Linked DNA regions of Callithrix jacchus. The protein of the gene in region 1 interacts with the protein of each later gene in a pairwise test. Links are inferred from orthologs where the notes say so. Each region holds a gene or a part of one and is shown on either strand. Other genes may lie near its edges.

Region 1 (7,521 bases):
ATTTGGATGGCTCAGCATCTATCATTCTGAAACACTCACAATAAATAATTTCCATTGTGTTAAGTTCATGATTTTTGGAAACATTACAATAGCCAACATGGAATTATCTTCTGGATTGTTCTCTTCCTGAGAAGAGAACCATGCTGCAATTCACTTCACTGCTTTTCAACAATGCCTTTATTGTTATTTCCTGGAAAAAAAAAAACAGTGTTCGACCTACCTGTCCACTGAATTTCTCACAGTAAACCTGTGACTCTTCACCAAAGCAGTCAGAAGCATCATTATACTTTCTGCAAACGCTCACAGTCACATGTCCTGGAACAGGCTTCCCATATGTATATCTGTCGTGAGAACACATTCCCAAGGGAATCAGAGCAGACACTGAACCAACCCATTTTCTAGCTATTTATATCTCCCCTTTATCTACAGTATATTCCCCATCTGTACTTCCCTCTCTCTCTGCTGGGGTCACACAATGTTGAACGCAAGTGTCACTAATGGCTCTTATAGAAATCACCATTGCAACATGCTGAAATTTACTACATTCTTCTTTTCTCTTTTCTTTTTTTTCTTAATAGTTTTTCAGTTTTATCTTTAAAAAGTCTTAGTTATTATAAAACTTAAAACTGTTCTTAAAAGAAAAAAACAATACCAGCAAAATGAAACAAACAGAACAAAAGCAAAGAGAGGAAACAAACACCCTCAAGTCTGCCCAGGAGTATAAACTATTAGTACGATAGTGCTTCTTCTTCCATCATCCTCTCCCCATGTGCAGCCATCTCAATATTATATTGAGTTTTACTTGTTTACTTTTTACAAAAGTGGGATCGTGTCATAAATATGTCATGGATGATTGCTGGATTTCCAAGTGGATTTGTCTCCTTTCCTATTTGAAAATGTCCTCTGTATCTCTTTTTGCAAGATCACTGGCCCACAAATTATGAGGAACCAGGAACTTGACCATTACTGTGAGACAGAATTGGGGCAGGGGCCCGCTGAATAGTAGGTGTATTACATGTGTGATCTTTGGGCAGGACTGATTTCTTCACTCTACCTGCTCTTTTTGCTACCGCTACTGTGTGTCACCAGGGATAGGAGCATTAGATCCAGGATACATGATTTTTCAAGGTTAGAAGAGACTGTCTTGAGAGATCATGTTCAGTCTCCTCGGTAAAAATGTCAGTGCAGAGATATGTAGACCTGCCTTAAGTAGACTAGCGAGTTAGATGAGGCTTCAGTTGTATGCCTATCTCTACAAATTCTGAATCTAAGTGATTTTTCCACTGAGCATACAAGGTCAGGTAAATGATCTGTTGATGATTGAATTTCCCCTAGAGCTATGTGTTAATTATCTTTCTGATAATGTTTGGTCATTTTTGGTTAAGGCAGAGCCAATACCCTTCAACATTATCCACCCTTCCTCTGTGTGTGTGTGTGTGTGTGTGTGTGCGCGCGCGCGCGCGGTTTCATCACTTTCAGAATCTGTCCTATTAGCATAACCTCTCTAGAAACAGTTCCTTACCTCATGACAGAACAATGCTGATAAGAACGTGAAAGAAAATAAAAAGGAAAAATAGAGAAGCAACAGAAGAATAACGTTCTAGAGATGAGAAGGTGTCAAAGCACTTAAAATTTTTGTGTTGCCACTGCTCCTACAGGGAGTAGCTAAAATATTCCAAATAGTGAGTCTCTTTTAAATAATTCCTCTGAGAAGATGAAAAAAATGAACTCACAGGCCACATACTGATACATTCATCTCTTCTTCCAAGATGGTGATTATCTTTGGCACTGTTACTTGCACTTCAAACTTGGGAAGAACTGTTGATTGGTGATAAAGAAGGTTGGTGATTGTTTTTCAACTTTGAAGGAATTCATATTTTCAGGTTCCCTTTAACAGTTCCCTAATAATATTTTAGGGCTCTGAAAAGGCAGCTCTGCTCTCCAATATATTCTTATCCATCCTCCTCTGAAATGAAGATTTTAGCTGAGTGACTATGAGAGATTGCAAGATGCTTAATTCATTATGGAAAACTCCATTAAAATGAGGCTGTTTAAATTTCTGGGGGAGGTATTAAATATTACTATAGAAAATAACCAAGCTATGTGAAGTCCTATTTAAAAATCACTGATGTCCCTCATTGGACTTAGGTGTGATGAGTTTTACTCCAAGCCCAATGTCACCCATGGGAAATGGAAAGACTCCAAATGAGCTTAAATTCCAGGCCCTAGGAGTTTAAACATGAATGAAGAAACATGTTCCATGACTTTCCATGATCCATACCAAATTCCTCCACGGTGAAGGGATGCTCTCTCCTTCCACCGGATTCCTTCTGTACCACCACTTTGTAGGAGCCCTGGAAGGGCTCTGATGAGAGGGGAAAAGACAATTGCTTGAGGCCACCCTCTAACTCAAGACTCTGCCATTGTGCGATGCGATTTCCTTTGGGATCCTATGAATAAATGAATTATAATTTACAAAAGCACCTGGAGCATTAGACATAATAAAAGAAATCTATGGAAACTCTTGTTACCTACAAAAAGGACAAATGGGGTAGTGGTAAAGGGTGAGGAGAGGAGATGAGTCATAACCATCTAGCCCTATGTGAGTTGGAAGGCTTCTCCTTTAATGACAAGTTTCTGAGATGTCGTTAAAACCTCTCAGGTAAGAGCATTTCCCTATATGTGTTACTTTCCTTCTAATATGGAATGCTTCATGTTTCTTACCTGGATGTATACTAGTGGAATCTGAAACACAAAAGAAAGAAAGTTTATAATTATTTTCAAATTCTTAAATCTCATTTACAAGCACAACAGGTTGAGCATAGTCAGAAATAATTTAATCTTACATTTAAAAGTAACTAAAAGTATAATTGGATTGTTTGTAACATAAAGAATAAATGTTTGAGGGGATGAGTATCCCATTTATTGATACAGGCATGCAATGCATGATAATAATCATTATCCATGATTGGATAATGATTTAAATAATGACTGGATAATAATATGCATGCCTGTATCAAAATATCTTATGTAACCCATAAATATATACACCTACTATGTATCCACAAAAATTAAAAAAATTAAAAATTTAAAAAAACTAAAAAAGTTTTATATAGAATAACTCCCTCTATAGTGAAATACAGAAAGATTCCAGATTAAATTTTAGAGAACTCTTCATTAATCTATTTTAAGCACTTAATAAATAATGGTAAGAACTTACTAGGCCATCAGCAACAAATCTACATGTACAGTGCCATTTACTAGAAAGGGATTTATTAACATTTCTTAAGTGCTTATAGCATCTTAGTGAAGAACATTCTTTTGCTATGCAATTTTACAGGCTGAGAAATAAACACTTAGGTAACTATAAGTAAGTATGTTCAGATGTAATCATTAAGATGGGTCATAGAATTTGTAGGTAGTTCTAAGAATGAGGAGGAACAGAAATATTTCATTAATAAATGTTATTTTAATAAATAGCACTTTCAAAAAATGAATAAATATTGATAGAGAAGCTAGTATCAATGTTCATTCATTTTTAAAAACTAATGTTTATTAAGTACCTTCTCATGGGCTGTATATCATTCTAGATATTGAGAATATAACTAAGCACAAAAGAACAATATATCTGATTTAATGGAGCTTACATTACAATAGAATTGGGCAGATTTTAAAAAACTCATGTATAGGCTGGTGGTAAATGCCAATAGAAAAACAAAGGAGAGTTAGGCTGACAGTGATGGATGTGGTGCTTCATTTTAGATGGAGAAGTGAAAGTAGAAGCCGGGAGACCACTTTGAAGGCTATTGCAATGATCTTATTTAGAGATGACATTGGTAGGACTAGCTTGCAGCAGTAGTTCAGATGATAAGAAGTGGTCTGAATATTTTTTAACCCAACATGATTTTCCAGTGAAGTGGATATGGGTATGAGAGAAAGAGAAACAAGGACTATTCTATAATCTTTTGTCTTTGGATTTAGAAGAGCAGACTTGCCTCTTTTGGAGATAAGAAAATGTGAAGAAGTAGATTTGGGAGAAAAAAATGAAAACTTTGGGTTGATGTGTGCATTACAATAGAAAGAGTTGTTTCTTATCACACATACAAAGGAACAAATTACTTACCTTGACTTTTCTTTATAGCAAAGATTTTGGTAGGTATGTATAGAAAGAGTCTAAATACTTAAAATGCCTTTTGAACTTAGGTTCTTTGAGGGTTTATCTGCGTCTTTTATTTAATATATCTTTCTAATTATCCTAATTAAGAACTATCTGAAAAATAAATTTAATTGTGTGACAACTGATTACATTTAGTTTATCAGTGCTTTGTGCTGAGTAGCAGCACCAAGACAGGAAGAATTACCTGCTTACTCTACCTGGAATGATGTTTTGGATTAGGATCTTGCGTTGTTGTAATGCCAGAAGTTACTGTTAGTGATACCAGATTCTTCCTCTCCCTGGTCTTCCCCCAACACAGAAAACAGGTTCCCAGCCTGTTTATACAGCTAATCATTTTATGTAGATAATAGAAAACTCACCAACTCATTCAGGGGGTGAAAGGTTTCATCCAATGAGACAACACGAAATTTCACTGAAACAGAAATATTTTTCATGAGCTCCCAGACCCAAAGTAGGGCTATAGGTTGGTAAGATAAGCTATTTAAGGAATCAAGATTATAGGAACTTTGCCTGGGGACCACCCAATGGAAGAAGAACTTTCCTTTTTGAAGTTGTCCCAACTGTAGGCTTCTTCATACCTGTCTGCCCTGGTTTGTAGATCGATTTGTCTGTCTGGACAAAGACCAGACTCTCGTCATTCTTAACTATGACTGAGGTCCGCTTCTTGAATTCTTGTGTTGGTCCTTTCACTTGGACAGTGAGGAACATTACTTCCTCACTGGATGAAATCTTTGGGACCTGAAATATAGGACAGATCCTGAAACCCCATTCAGCACCCGCAGGTCTCCTCCCCTGTTTCCTGTTCTACTCTTCCTTGGAGACCTTGCCCTTGTTACTTCACTTCACTCCCTTGTTCTCAGCAGGGAAAGTTGGCATGGACAAGAATCACTTCTACCATTTTACAAACGGGGAGACTGGACACAAGGTGGAGAAACATACATTAGTAAGAGAGGTTGTAAGTGAGATTCATATCTTCATATAGCTCAGAAAAAAACGCCTTGATTCAACTATACATGGCAGTGAGCTTTACCAGGTTGATATTACATGCTAAAAGGGCATGGTCGAAGCATGTTTTATGGGTATTAAAAAACCCTATATTTAGGGCCGGGCGCGGTGGCTCATGCCTGTAATCCCAGCACTTTGGGAGGCCGAGGCGGGTGGATCACGAGGTCAAAAGATCGAGACCATCCTGGTTTAGTGAAACCCCGTCTCTACTAAAAATACAAAAAATTAGCTGAGCACGGTGGCGCGTGCCTGTAGTCCCAGCTACTTGGGAGGCTGAGGCAGGAGAATTGCCTGAACCCAGGAGGCAGAGGTTGCGGTGAGCCGAGATCGCGCCATTGCACTCCAGCCTGGGTAACGAGAGCGAAACTCCGTCTCAAAAAAAAAAAAAAAAAAACCCTATATTTTACTGACACTAGGCTGTAAGCATCTCACATGTGGGCAACTCTGAAGAGATACTACACCTTCGCTCAGGGTAATTTCTACAGTTTTTGCTCTTAGGAGTAGTGTGGAATGACGTGTTCCTGTGAGTCCACCACTGGTGGCTCATGTTGAGCCCTGGCCTCATATGCTTTATTAATATATTTTCTATCTTAATTTTAAGAAGTCACACTGTCTTTTTTTTCTTTCTGGCTGATAGGGTTCCTATTTAATTATTAAGCTGACTTTTAGTGTGCCTGTAAAAAATATTTGTCTCCAGTGGCTGGAGAGTCACGCATTGCTCCTCAATTTCTATACTTAGTTTGCTACACTTGGATTCCTTCTGGAAGTTCTTACCAGCCTCCCAAACCCTCATCTTGACATAATACAAAATCCCAATGACCCTGACTAAAAGAACCAAGTATAGGAAGTCAAACAGCCACACTCACAGAGAAGGCAACGCAGTGGAGCACGTCCGTCTCTGCCACCAGGTCAGTGAAGAGGCTGCTGTTTCCCCTGATAGACTCCAAGGAAGCGCTTACAGTCACTGTCTCCTTCAGGTAGCTCATAAGGATACAGCATTTCTCAGCGGTCTCAGTGTGGAGGAGGGAGGGAACCAGAACCATATACTGCCTGGGAATGAGATGGTTCAGTTAGCGGAAAGTAAAGGAAGGCAGGCACTGCTATTAACAGCACTATTTTCCATCATAGTAATTATCATCATCTGTTCTACACCAAGAGAAGACATACTGAGGAGCATGAAATTTGGCTGTTGAAGGCCATGCATAAGAATTATTCCCCCTTTCCCTCACATGCCATGGCAGTGAACATTTTACTTGAGGTAGGACTTAAACAGATTAAAACTTGTAGGCATACCTCTCTTTAAGAAACAATTTGTGAATATCCGAATTCAAATAAAAATATGTAGTTACATTTGCGGATGCTGTAAATCTATTTTATCTTCAAATTGCTGTAAAACGTAAGCTCTCAGTCATGCAGACATTACAAAAACTATACACACACATACATATACACATTCAGCAGCCCTATGAAAATTGTATGCTAATACTTGCTTCCACTCCAAAGATATGGAATCTGAGCCTCAAAGGGAGCCATCACTTTAAAGTCTCAGTTGTGGTAAGCAACTAATAAAGTTTTAGAGCATTACCTAATCATGGATGTTTGCGTTTTAGATATTTGCCTTTCAGCTCATGATTAGACAATGGCTTCATCCAGAAATGTCCTCTAGTGATGGACTTTAGATCTTGGTAACTCATGTGCAGTACAGAAACTTGCTCAGTACCCTGATATATAATTTATGATCAATTTGTAGTTTTTATACATTTTTGCTCACAGAATGTCTAAAATAATTTTTGGACACTGTGCACTCCTTACATATTTTCAAGTAAACATATTTTTTATTATGATTTTAAAGAACAGCAAAAGATATTATTTTTGATGATATTTAAAATTAATGCTTAGATTACTTTTATAATTTTCTAATGAAATAATAAACACTATAGTGATAAGATACTTACTATTGCTATGTAAAAATACATTAAAAAGTTATTTTAATGGTCGCCTATTTAACAGCTTTCTGTTTTTACCTCCTTGAATTTGAATTTCCATACCAATTGCCATACAGAAATTTTTCTTAAACTTTTACACTTCAAAATATTTTGTGAATCATTCTTACTTCATTATCAAGCACCTATACATAAATGTATGTATACATATATTTGCATATATACATAATATATATGTATACATAAATACATATGTATATATAAACATACGTGGATAGATAAATTTAACTTTAACTCCTCTTTTAAATAGAATGTGACCATACATTCATAAATATTAAACATTTTCTTCTAATTGAACTATTTTCAAAAATAATTGTATGTAACTGATCAAAACAA
Region 2 (8,111 bases), on another chromosome or scaffold:
ACTCGTGATAGTGTATCTTTGTTATTACAACACAAGAAGAGCATTACTGAGTTTCTGTAGCATACATGCATACTATTACACTGTATAATTTCATCCTTACCTAGAGCCTTCTGTATATGACACTGATTAAAATCTGATAAAATGTTCCAGTCTTTAGTATTTCCTATGTTACTTTTTGGTTAGTGATCTTGTTTTACAGTAACTTGAACAGCCATCCAGGTGCCAACAATTCTGGTGAAAAAATAAAAGACATATTGCTAGCTTATTAAAGTTTTCTGGACTTTCACTAATTAGTAAAATTAAAATTATATAGTAACTACTATTCTTATTGATAGTCCTTTCTTATTTCAGAATTCTTTTAGCAGTCTAAAGTACCTATTCAGCCATCTTGTTTGTTTATGGTAATACAGCTAAATCACCATTTGTCAAAACCAGTAGAGGTGAACTGTAGTCGAAACTGCAAAACTCTGTAACTTAAATGTACTTTCATTGGAATTAATAGAACCTAAGTAGAATCATGGAGTTAGTACTGAAAATATTTTAATTCTAGCAAAAAGCAAGCAACCACTTCCTAAAATAATGCTTTTTTTTTTTTCTCTTGGGTTACTCTCCTCCTCCTTTATTTATGATTTATGCTTACCACAAAACTAATAGATAAAGATGTTTTTTGTTTGGTTATACTTAAAAAAGATGACCCTGATATCTTTTTTTCTATTATACTACTTATTATTACACTATTTCTCTGCTTCCAAAATAAAGGAGAATTTGTATCTATGACTGCATAAATTAAAAAGTTACCTTCCACTGGTCACAGTTCTATCAGCGGTTCAGGGATCATTTCAAATCTAGGAAAGCAGTATTTGTACACAGACAGTCAAACTAGAACAATTGCTGAGTTTAAAAGCTAATAGTTAAGCGTTGTTTCACAGACTGCTTTCAGTTCCAAAACACTAGATATGTATAATCCATACTACTTAATTGATTTTTTTTTTTTCTGTCGGAGTCTCGCTCTGTCACCCAGGCTGGAGTGCGGTGGCACGATCTCGGCCCCAGGAAATTTTTTAAGTGTCAAGTAAAACAGATTTTTTTTTTTTTTCACAGCATAATCATCTAATAACCTCGGCTCACTGCAACCTCCACTTCCTGGGTTCAAGAGGTTCTCCTGCCTCAGCCTCCTCAGTAGCTGGGATTATAGGCGAAGGCCACCACGCTGGGCTTTTGTATTTTTAGTAGAGACAGGGTTTCACCATGTTGGTCCCCCTGGTTTCGAACTCCTGACCTCGTGATCCACCCACCTTGGCCTCCCAAAATGCTGGGATTACAAGCATGAGCCACCACAACTGGCCTAAATGATTTTTGCTTTAAAAAAAAAAAAAAAATCACGTGTGGTTAAGGTAAGAAAGCTTCAGAATTAGCAAGGACAAGGATCCTGACAGAAAGGTTCAGATCTGGTTACAGATTCAGACACCTTAATACAGGAAATAGTCTCCAGTATCTGAACAATAAACACCTTTAAATGCAGGGCTTTCTGAGTAGATGAGTGGATTACTAGAGGCTGGGAATAGGACGAGAAATGAGGAGGGATTGCTAATGGGCACCGGGTTCCTTTTGGAGTGATGAAACGTCTTGGAATCAGATAGAGGTGAAAGCTGCACAAGATTGTGAATGTACTAAGTGCCACTGCATTGTACACTTTAAGATGGTTATTTTTATATGTGAATTTCACCTCAACAATTACTTTTAAAAAGAAGGAAAAAAAAAAAAACCATAGAGGTTTTTGTGCCAGGGATGGATTTTGCTTGGTGAAGTCCCCTATAGTAAGGTGCCTAGACACCCAAGGTCAGCGAGGAGCACTCCCACCTGACACAAAGCCGTATGAAAACGTACAGATTTCCCTCAGCTGAAACCCCGTTTTCAATAACCGCCAATTAGTCAACATTTAACAACATACTGAATTCATTTCTGTGAGTATGGGAAAATAGCGAAATATACATCAGAACCTTTAGAAAGCAGCATCACCGGCCACCTAGAAATCCCCTGCGGGCAACAGAAAACTAACACCATGATGGAAATGGTAGAAGCCATTTTTTGTTAAGGTTTTTGTCCTGGGTGGAGGGTATTCGTGAGGATTCAGTAAGCCTCAAGCATTACATTTAAACACAGGTGCTTAGCTACGATGATGCATTTGCCAATAGGGCAGCGTCGCACGGTGAAAGGAGAAAAACCTCTATAAGCCTCCTTCTGTGGCACGAAGCTCTCAGCCAACGCTCACCGCCATACCCCCAACTGCGGGGACGCTCCCTCCTTCAGTCGAAGAAGGCGGGGCCTCCGAGGGCACTCCCGCCACACAGCGCGAATTGAGCCTCTAGGCTTTCTGGGAATTGTAGTTTTTGTCACCCATACATCTTTTATTCGGGCCAGTATGCAGTGAATCAGAAAACTACAGCTCCCAAAGTACCGCGGGGCGGCGAGCGGCCACAACGGTGACGACTGTGGTAGAGAAGCCCTGGAGGGGCTCTGCGTTCTGGTGTGGCACTGCTTGGGCTGGTTGCGGATTGCAGGCTGCTGGTGTTGCGGCTGAGGAGAGCGGCGAGAGGGTTTCACGTTTCTCGTCAGGATCCCCGCAAGCATGAGTGCTGCCAGAGAGTCTCACCCGCACGGGGTGAAGCGTTCAGCCTCCCCAGACGACGATGTAAATAACAATGGCGGAGTGGCTGAGGGTTGAGGCCTACTAAAGGCTTGAGTAGGCCGGAAAGGGTGGATGGAGGAGAACGCGCCTGAGGTGGCCCGCAGCGGGAGAGGCCACGGGAGAAACCAGAATGAGTGGGCAATGTCTCCCTTAATCTTTAAGAGTTGGAAGGTTTTTAGGAGGCCCACACGCTGAGAGCCGGAGACCTGAGTAGGAAGGGGGTTTGAGGAAGGAAATTCTGAGAGGGTCGAGGAGTGAAAGAGCTTAGTCAAGGGATTTCATACGTGAGTTTTGAGGGACCGATGAGGATGCTTTCTCCGGCGTTTGTACTCAGGTAGAGACGGCAAGACTCTCCCTGTTTTGGGTTCTAAATATTCCTGTGACGGTGTCGAAATGTTCGTGCACGTTTGGACAGATTTTTCCGGCCTGGATGATTTTTGCAGTGTGCCGTTGAGAGTTAACGTCAACTGCACTAGTAAGGGTAAACCGAGAACAACATTGAGCCGAAAATTGTGCCACGGGTGTAATTTGGTTCTGAATGTGGTGGTGAGGTCTAAGACGTTGAGACCTAGAAGCCCATTTTGATGTCAGATATTAATACCTCGTTCTCCTTACCTCTCCTCCCCATCAAACGCCGTTCCCTTCCCCAGCCCCCACCTTACCGGTTTTAATAGCAAACGGTTTATCCCTTAAAGTAACCCATTAAATATTTACTGCAGTGCCAGGTGTTGGGAATTCGGAGATAAATATGATGTTTATTTTAAGTCTTTTTGTATATTTGGCCTAACTCCTAGCGCAGTGTCATGGAAACATCAGGTAATCAGTAAACGTAAAACTACGTCCTTCATACAATGGATAAGTGTCTTTGGAACCTTGATGGAGAAATTGTTGGAGAGGGCGCGGTGAGGTCATCGTTAAGGATGATAAAGGAATAACTAGGATTTTTTCAGTTTTGTTTAAAGTGCTATTAATTTCTGAATACATAAAGCTTTAAATTTTTCTGGAGTGCATTTCAGTGCTTTTCATAAAATTTTAAATCTTCACTTTAATCAGGGAAGATTTGAGTATGAATGGGCATCTAGAGAAATTTATCGGTGCTCTTTGTTCTTTCTGCTACTGGCTTTTAGATCTTGTTAATATGGTAATTAACGTTTTCTCAGGAATTGATTCATGCTTTTGAGTAACCTGGCTGCCATTTGAAAAGCTGTTACCTTGTTTTCCTCCTGATTTGTAACTGTGACTTGATTGCTAGGATGTCAGGCACCTGTTTTGCTACACTCAGAAATAATATTTTAGCATGACAGGAAACCGCAGGTGATACGCAATTTAACAGAAAGGTAGAGATTAAGTTTACAGTTCTGAAAAGGTCACTTTAAACTAGATGACCTTTAAGACCTTTCCTGGTCATATAAGCCTATCTTTAAGTACCTGTGTTTTGTTTTTGTTTTGAGACAGGGTCTCACTCTTTTCCCCAGGCTGGAGGCCAGTGGCATGATCAGTGCTCCTTGCAGCCTCCACCTCCCTGGCTCAAGGGGTCCTCCTGCTTCAACCCCCTCTCCCCCTGCCACCACCACAGTAGCTGGGGCTACTGTGGTGTCCCAGCTGCAAGCCACTACATCTGGCTAATTTTTTGTGTTTTTAGTAGAGACGGGGTTTTGCCACGTTGCCCAGGCTGCTTTCCAACTACTAGACTCAAGCAATTAATTCGGCCTCCCAAAGTGCTGGGATTACAGGTGTGAGCCACCTCGCTTAGCCAGTACTTTAAAAAAAAAAAATTTTTTTTAAACCATATGTAATGCATTCATTAAAATACCTCCAAGCTGTTGTAGAAAATAAGCTAGCTATAATATATAGTTGGGCCACAGTTTCTAATGAGTATCATAGTATGTAAGAGATCATTAAAGTTTTCTTATGCCCATTGACCTCACATCTAATTGGGGTAACAAAACTTTTTTTAAATATTAAAAGTCGATACTAAATCACAGAATACAAATCTAGAAAAATGCTGACAATGTAGCAGTAAATTCTAAGAGTCACTAGGATATATATTGATAAATTAATTGCAGGTCTGTAGTAAAAGGTATTAAGGATGAAGACAACCTAAAAGTAGTTTCATTGGCTTGGAGTGGAGAAATGAAAGCTATCTTATAGGGAGTGGGAGGAGTGGGGAGGTTGGGAGAGGTGCTAAGGAACCTCTCTTAAATTGTATAGGGCATTAATGTGCTTTTCAGAATGCAGCATTTGGGCAAAGTACTCGCTGTTGTACTTTAAGGCAGGAGTCCCGAACTCCTGGGCCACAGTACCAGGCCACACAGCAGGAGGTGACCTATGGGCCAGCCAGCAAAGCTTCATCTGTATTTACAGCTGCTCCCCATGGCTTGCATTACCTCCTGAACTCTGCCTCCTGTCAGCATTAGCTTCTCATAGGAGCGTGAACCCTGTTGTGAACTGCATATGCAAGTGATCTAGTTGCACACTCCCGGTGAGAATCTAATGCCTGATGATCTGTCACTATCTCCCATTACCCCCAGATGGGACTGTCTAGTTGTAGGAAAAGAAGCTCAGGGCTTCCACTGAGTCTACATTATGGTGAGTTTTATAATTATTTCATTATCTATTACAATATACTAATAATAGAATTAAAGTGCCCAATAAATGTGATGCACTTAAATCATCCCAAAACCATCTCCTCTGTGAAAAATTGTCTTCCACAAAACCAGTTCCTGATGCCAAAAAGGTTGGGGACTGCTACTTTAAGGTCTTTGAAAAGAAGAACTGGCAGGACTTAATGTTATTTTCTTAAAACATTGGGATTAAAAGTTGTAGATGACAGGGTTATTTATATAAACACCGAAGATGTTTTGCTCTTTTAATAGAAACGGAATCAAGAAAGTTGGTTTTTAGACAATTTTTTTAACTTAATTCTCTACATTTTTATAACAGTAGTTAGTTCATAGACCACTTTCAGTATTCTATCTCATTTGATCATGGAGAATATGATGTGGAAAAAACAGAGGATGGTCAGAGGATTGAAGCAAGTCACTTAGCCTCTCTGTGCCTCAGTGTCTTAAGACACTTTAAAAGAGGCCTCTCTATAGATAAGAAGTTAAAATTAAATGTCAGATCCTGGCTTACAGAGTCAGAACTGAAGCTTCGCTATTACTTTAACTATATTGAGCCAGCAATAGGTAAGAACTAAATGGCCTGTAATAATATATCAAAGGTCACATGAAAAGAAGTAGAGATTTGGAACTTAGGAAGCCAAAATTATGAGAGCATATAAGCCCTTCCACTAATGAGAATTTAGAAGCACAAATGGGTCCAGATAGGTACAAATGCTTTAACTCGCATATGCCCAGGAGAAATAGTGTTTTTTTAATATTCTTTTAGTCTTTTACAAATAATTTTTAGAAATAAGAATAAAAGGGGATAATGCAAAACAACTTTATTAGGAATTTTAATGTGAATTTAACAATAACAAATTCAAATTTATAAACTATGTTTCCTAGATTTTGGTGGTATATACAGTCATCGTTCAGTATACTAAATGTGGGAGATTAGTTTTAGGACCCACCCACCTCCTTGGCAAATCTTGCATCAAGTCCTGCAGCCAGCCCTGTCAAACCCAAGAATAGGAAAAATCAGCCTTCTATATACTTGAGATGGATCTGCATTTGGTTGAAAAAAAAAAAAAAACAAATTATAAGGGACCCTTGAAGTTCAAACCTGGGTTGCATTTGCATCATCAAAATACAATACTTGAAGAATTTTTGCAACCTTCTATTGCCTACAATTTTGTGTTGAAGAAGGATTTGTCATCCTTGCTTCATAATTGCAAAACATTTTTATTTTTAGATTATAAACTTAATTAGAATGATAAATTCAGTGAATATTAATATTTTTATTTCATTTTCCTTCCAGTCACCTTGTATATATGCCTGTCTTCACCCTTTGTCCATTTGCAACCAAATCAAGTAAATTTTCATGCATAAAAATGGTAAAAGATGAGATAAAACAGTAATGCCTCCTTTTAGAAAATGGGATCATCCTGGCTCTTACTGCAAAATATTGCAAGATGAAGTCTTTCTTGCCAATGGCTCTCCCAGTGAGAGTACATATCTTGTTTGCTTGTTTTTTTTCTTTTCCTTGTTGATTCTTGGGTGGGAAAAAAGCCTTCTAGTAATCCTCATCCAAAAACTCATAGCTTGAGATTTTTGCACAGTCAATTTTATCATCATCGTTAGTCTAGAATACAACTGCCTGTCATTCTGCATTCACTTTCTTCTTCGTTTAATAATGGTTAATGCCTTCTGTCAGTATTTTTTCTTTGCCGTTATGAATGGAAAATGAAAAACTGAATTCCCATCTGTGTTCAGTGAAAGCTATAAGTAGACAACAGAGGTATGATGTCTTGAAAGATGGTGATGAAATACTTTGGACAATACAGTGAGATAACTTTTTAAAATTATTTTAGTTATTTTTAGCATCGTTGGGAATAATGAATGATAATGAAACAGTTTTTACATTTGTTTCAAGATGTAGGGAAAAATATCACTAGGATTCCATCATATTTCTTAGATTTATAAAAGAGTTCCATGGACCCATTTGATAATTGCAAGATAGAATCAGTTTGGGTCTATTCTTTTAAAAATAAGTAGCCAGGTGCGGTGGCTCACACCTATAATCCCAGCACTTTGGGAAGCAGGCGGATCACCTGAGGTCAGCAGTTCAAGACCAGCCTGACCAACATGGAGAAACCCTGTCTCTACTAAAAATACAAAATTAGCTGGGCATGGTGGCACATACATGTAATCCCAGCTACTTAGGAGGCTGAGGCAGAAGAATTGCTTGAACCCAGGAGGCAGAGGTTGCAGTGAGCCAGATCACGCTATTGCACTCCAGCCTGGGCAACAGGAGTGAAACTTCGTCTCAAAAATAAATAAATAAGTTTTCCCTTTGTTCTGTAGAAGACTTTTAAGAAAGAATAAAAATAAAGTCATCTTAATCCTAACAACTAGAACTGCTCAAAAAAGAAACTGAAAAGTTAAAATTTTTGTTCTTAAGTTAAAAGTTAGCAAACTGATAAAGCCAGAATTTTTAACATCAACTAACAACTGTGGCTGCCATCTAAGTTCAGAATACTAGGTGCTCTAGGACCCTGCAAGGCTCCAGGGCAGTGGGTCTTAAAGTGTGGTACCCAGATCAACAGCATCAGCAGTCATTTAGGAATTTGTTGAAATTCAAATCCTAGAGCCCCACTCCAGACTGGGCTGAATCTCTGGGACTGTAGCCCGGCAGTCTGTTTTAACAAGCCCTCTAGGTGACTCTGATACAGGCAAACTTTTAAGACTCAGCTCTGGCTGCAAAAGAATGAAAGGATTCTGCTGTGAGGTAATAGAAAAGGAGTAAATTTGAATGTGAT

The links. The genes of interacting proteins can lie anywhere in the genome.
Region 2: the proteins of A2M (region 1) and C10H11orf58 interact in a two-hybrid assay, tested with the Homo sapiens proteins (2 studies listed by BioGRID and IntAct). The link is inferred for Callithrix jacchus from reciprocal best matches to the Homo sapiens genes A2M and C11orf58.

The regions. Positions count from the first base shown.
Region 1 is NC_133510.1:23,785,277-23,792,797, forward strand, and holds part of A2M (alpha-2-macroglobulin), read right to left. Parts: intron 6,233-7,521; coding exon 6,049-6,232; intron 4,916-6,048; coding exon 4,756-4,915; intron 4,590-4,755; coding exon 4,537-4,589; intron 2,746-4,536; coding exon 2,725-2,745; intron 2,451-2,724; coding exon 2,282-2,450; intron 1,819-2,281; coding exon 1,734-1,818; intron 342-1,733; coding exon 221-341; intron 1-220. UniProt on the Homo sapiens protein: Is able to inhibit all four classes of proteinases by a unique 'trapping' mechanism. This protein has a peptide stretch, called the 'bait region' which contains specific cleavage sites for different proteinases.
Region 2 is NC_133511.1:82,761,230-82,769,340, forward strand, and holds the start of C10H11orf58 (small acidic protein), read left to right. Parts: upstream 1-2,629; coding exon 2,630-2,692; intron 2,693-8,111. Other genes in the region: uncharacterized protein LOC144578134, read right to left, coding at 180-231, 2,273-2,631.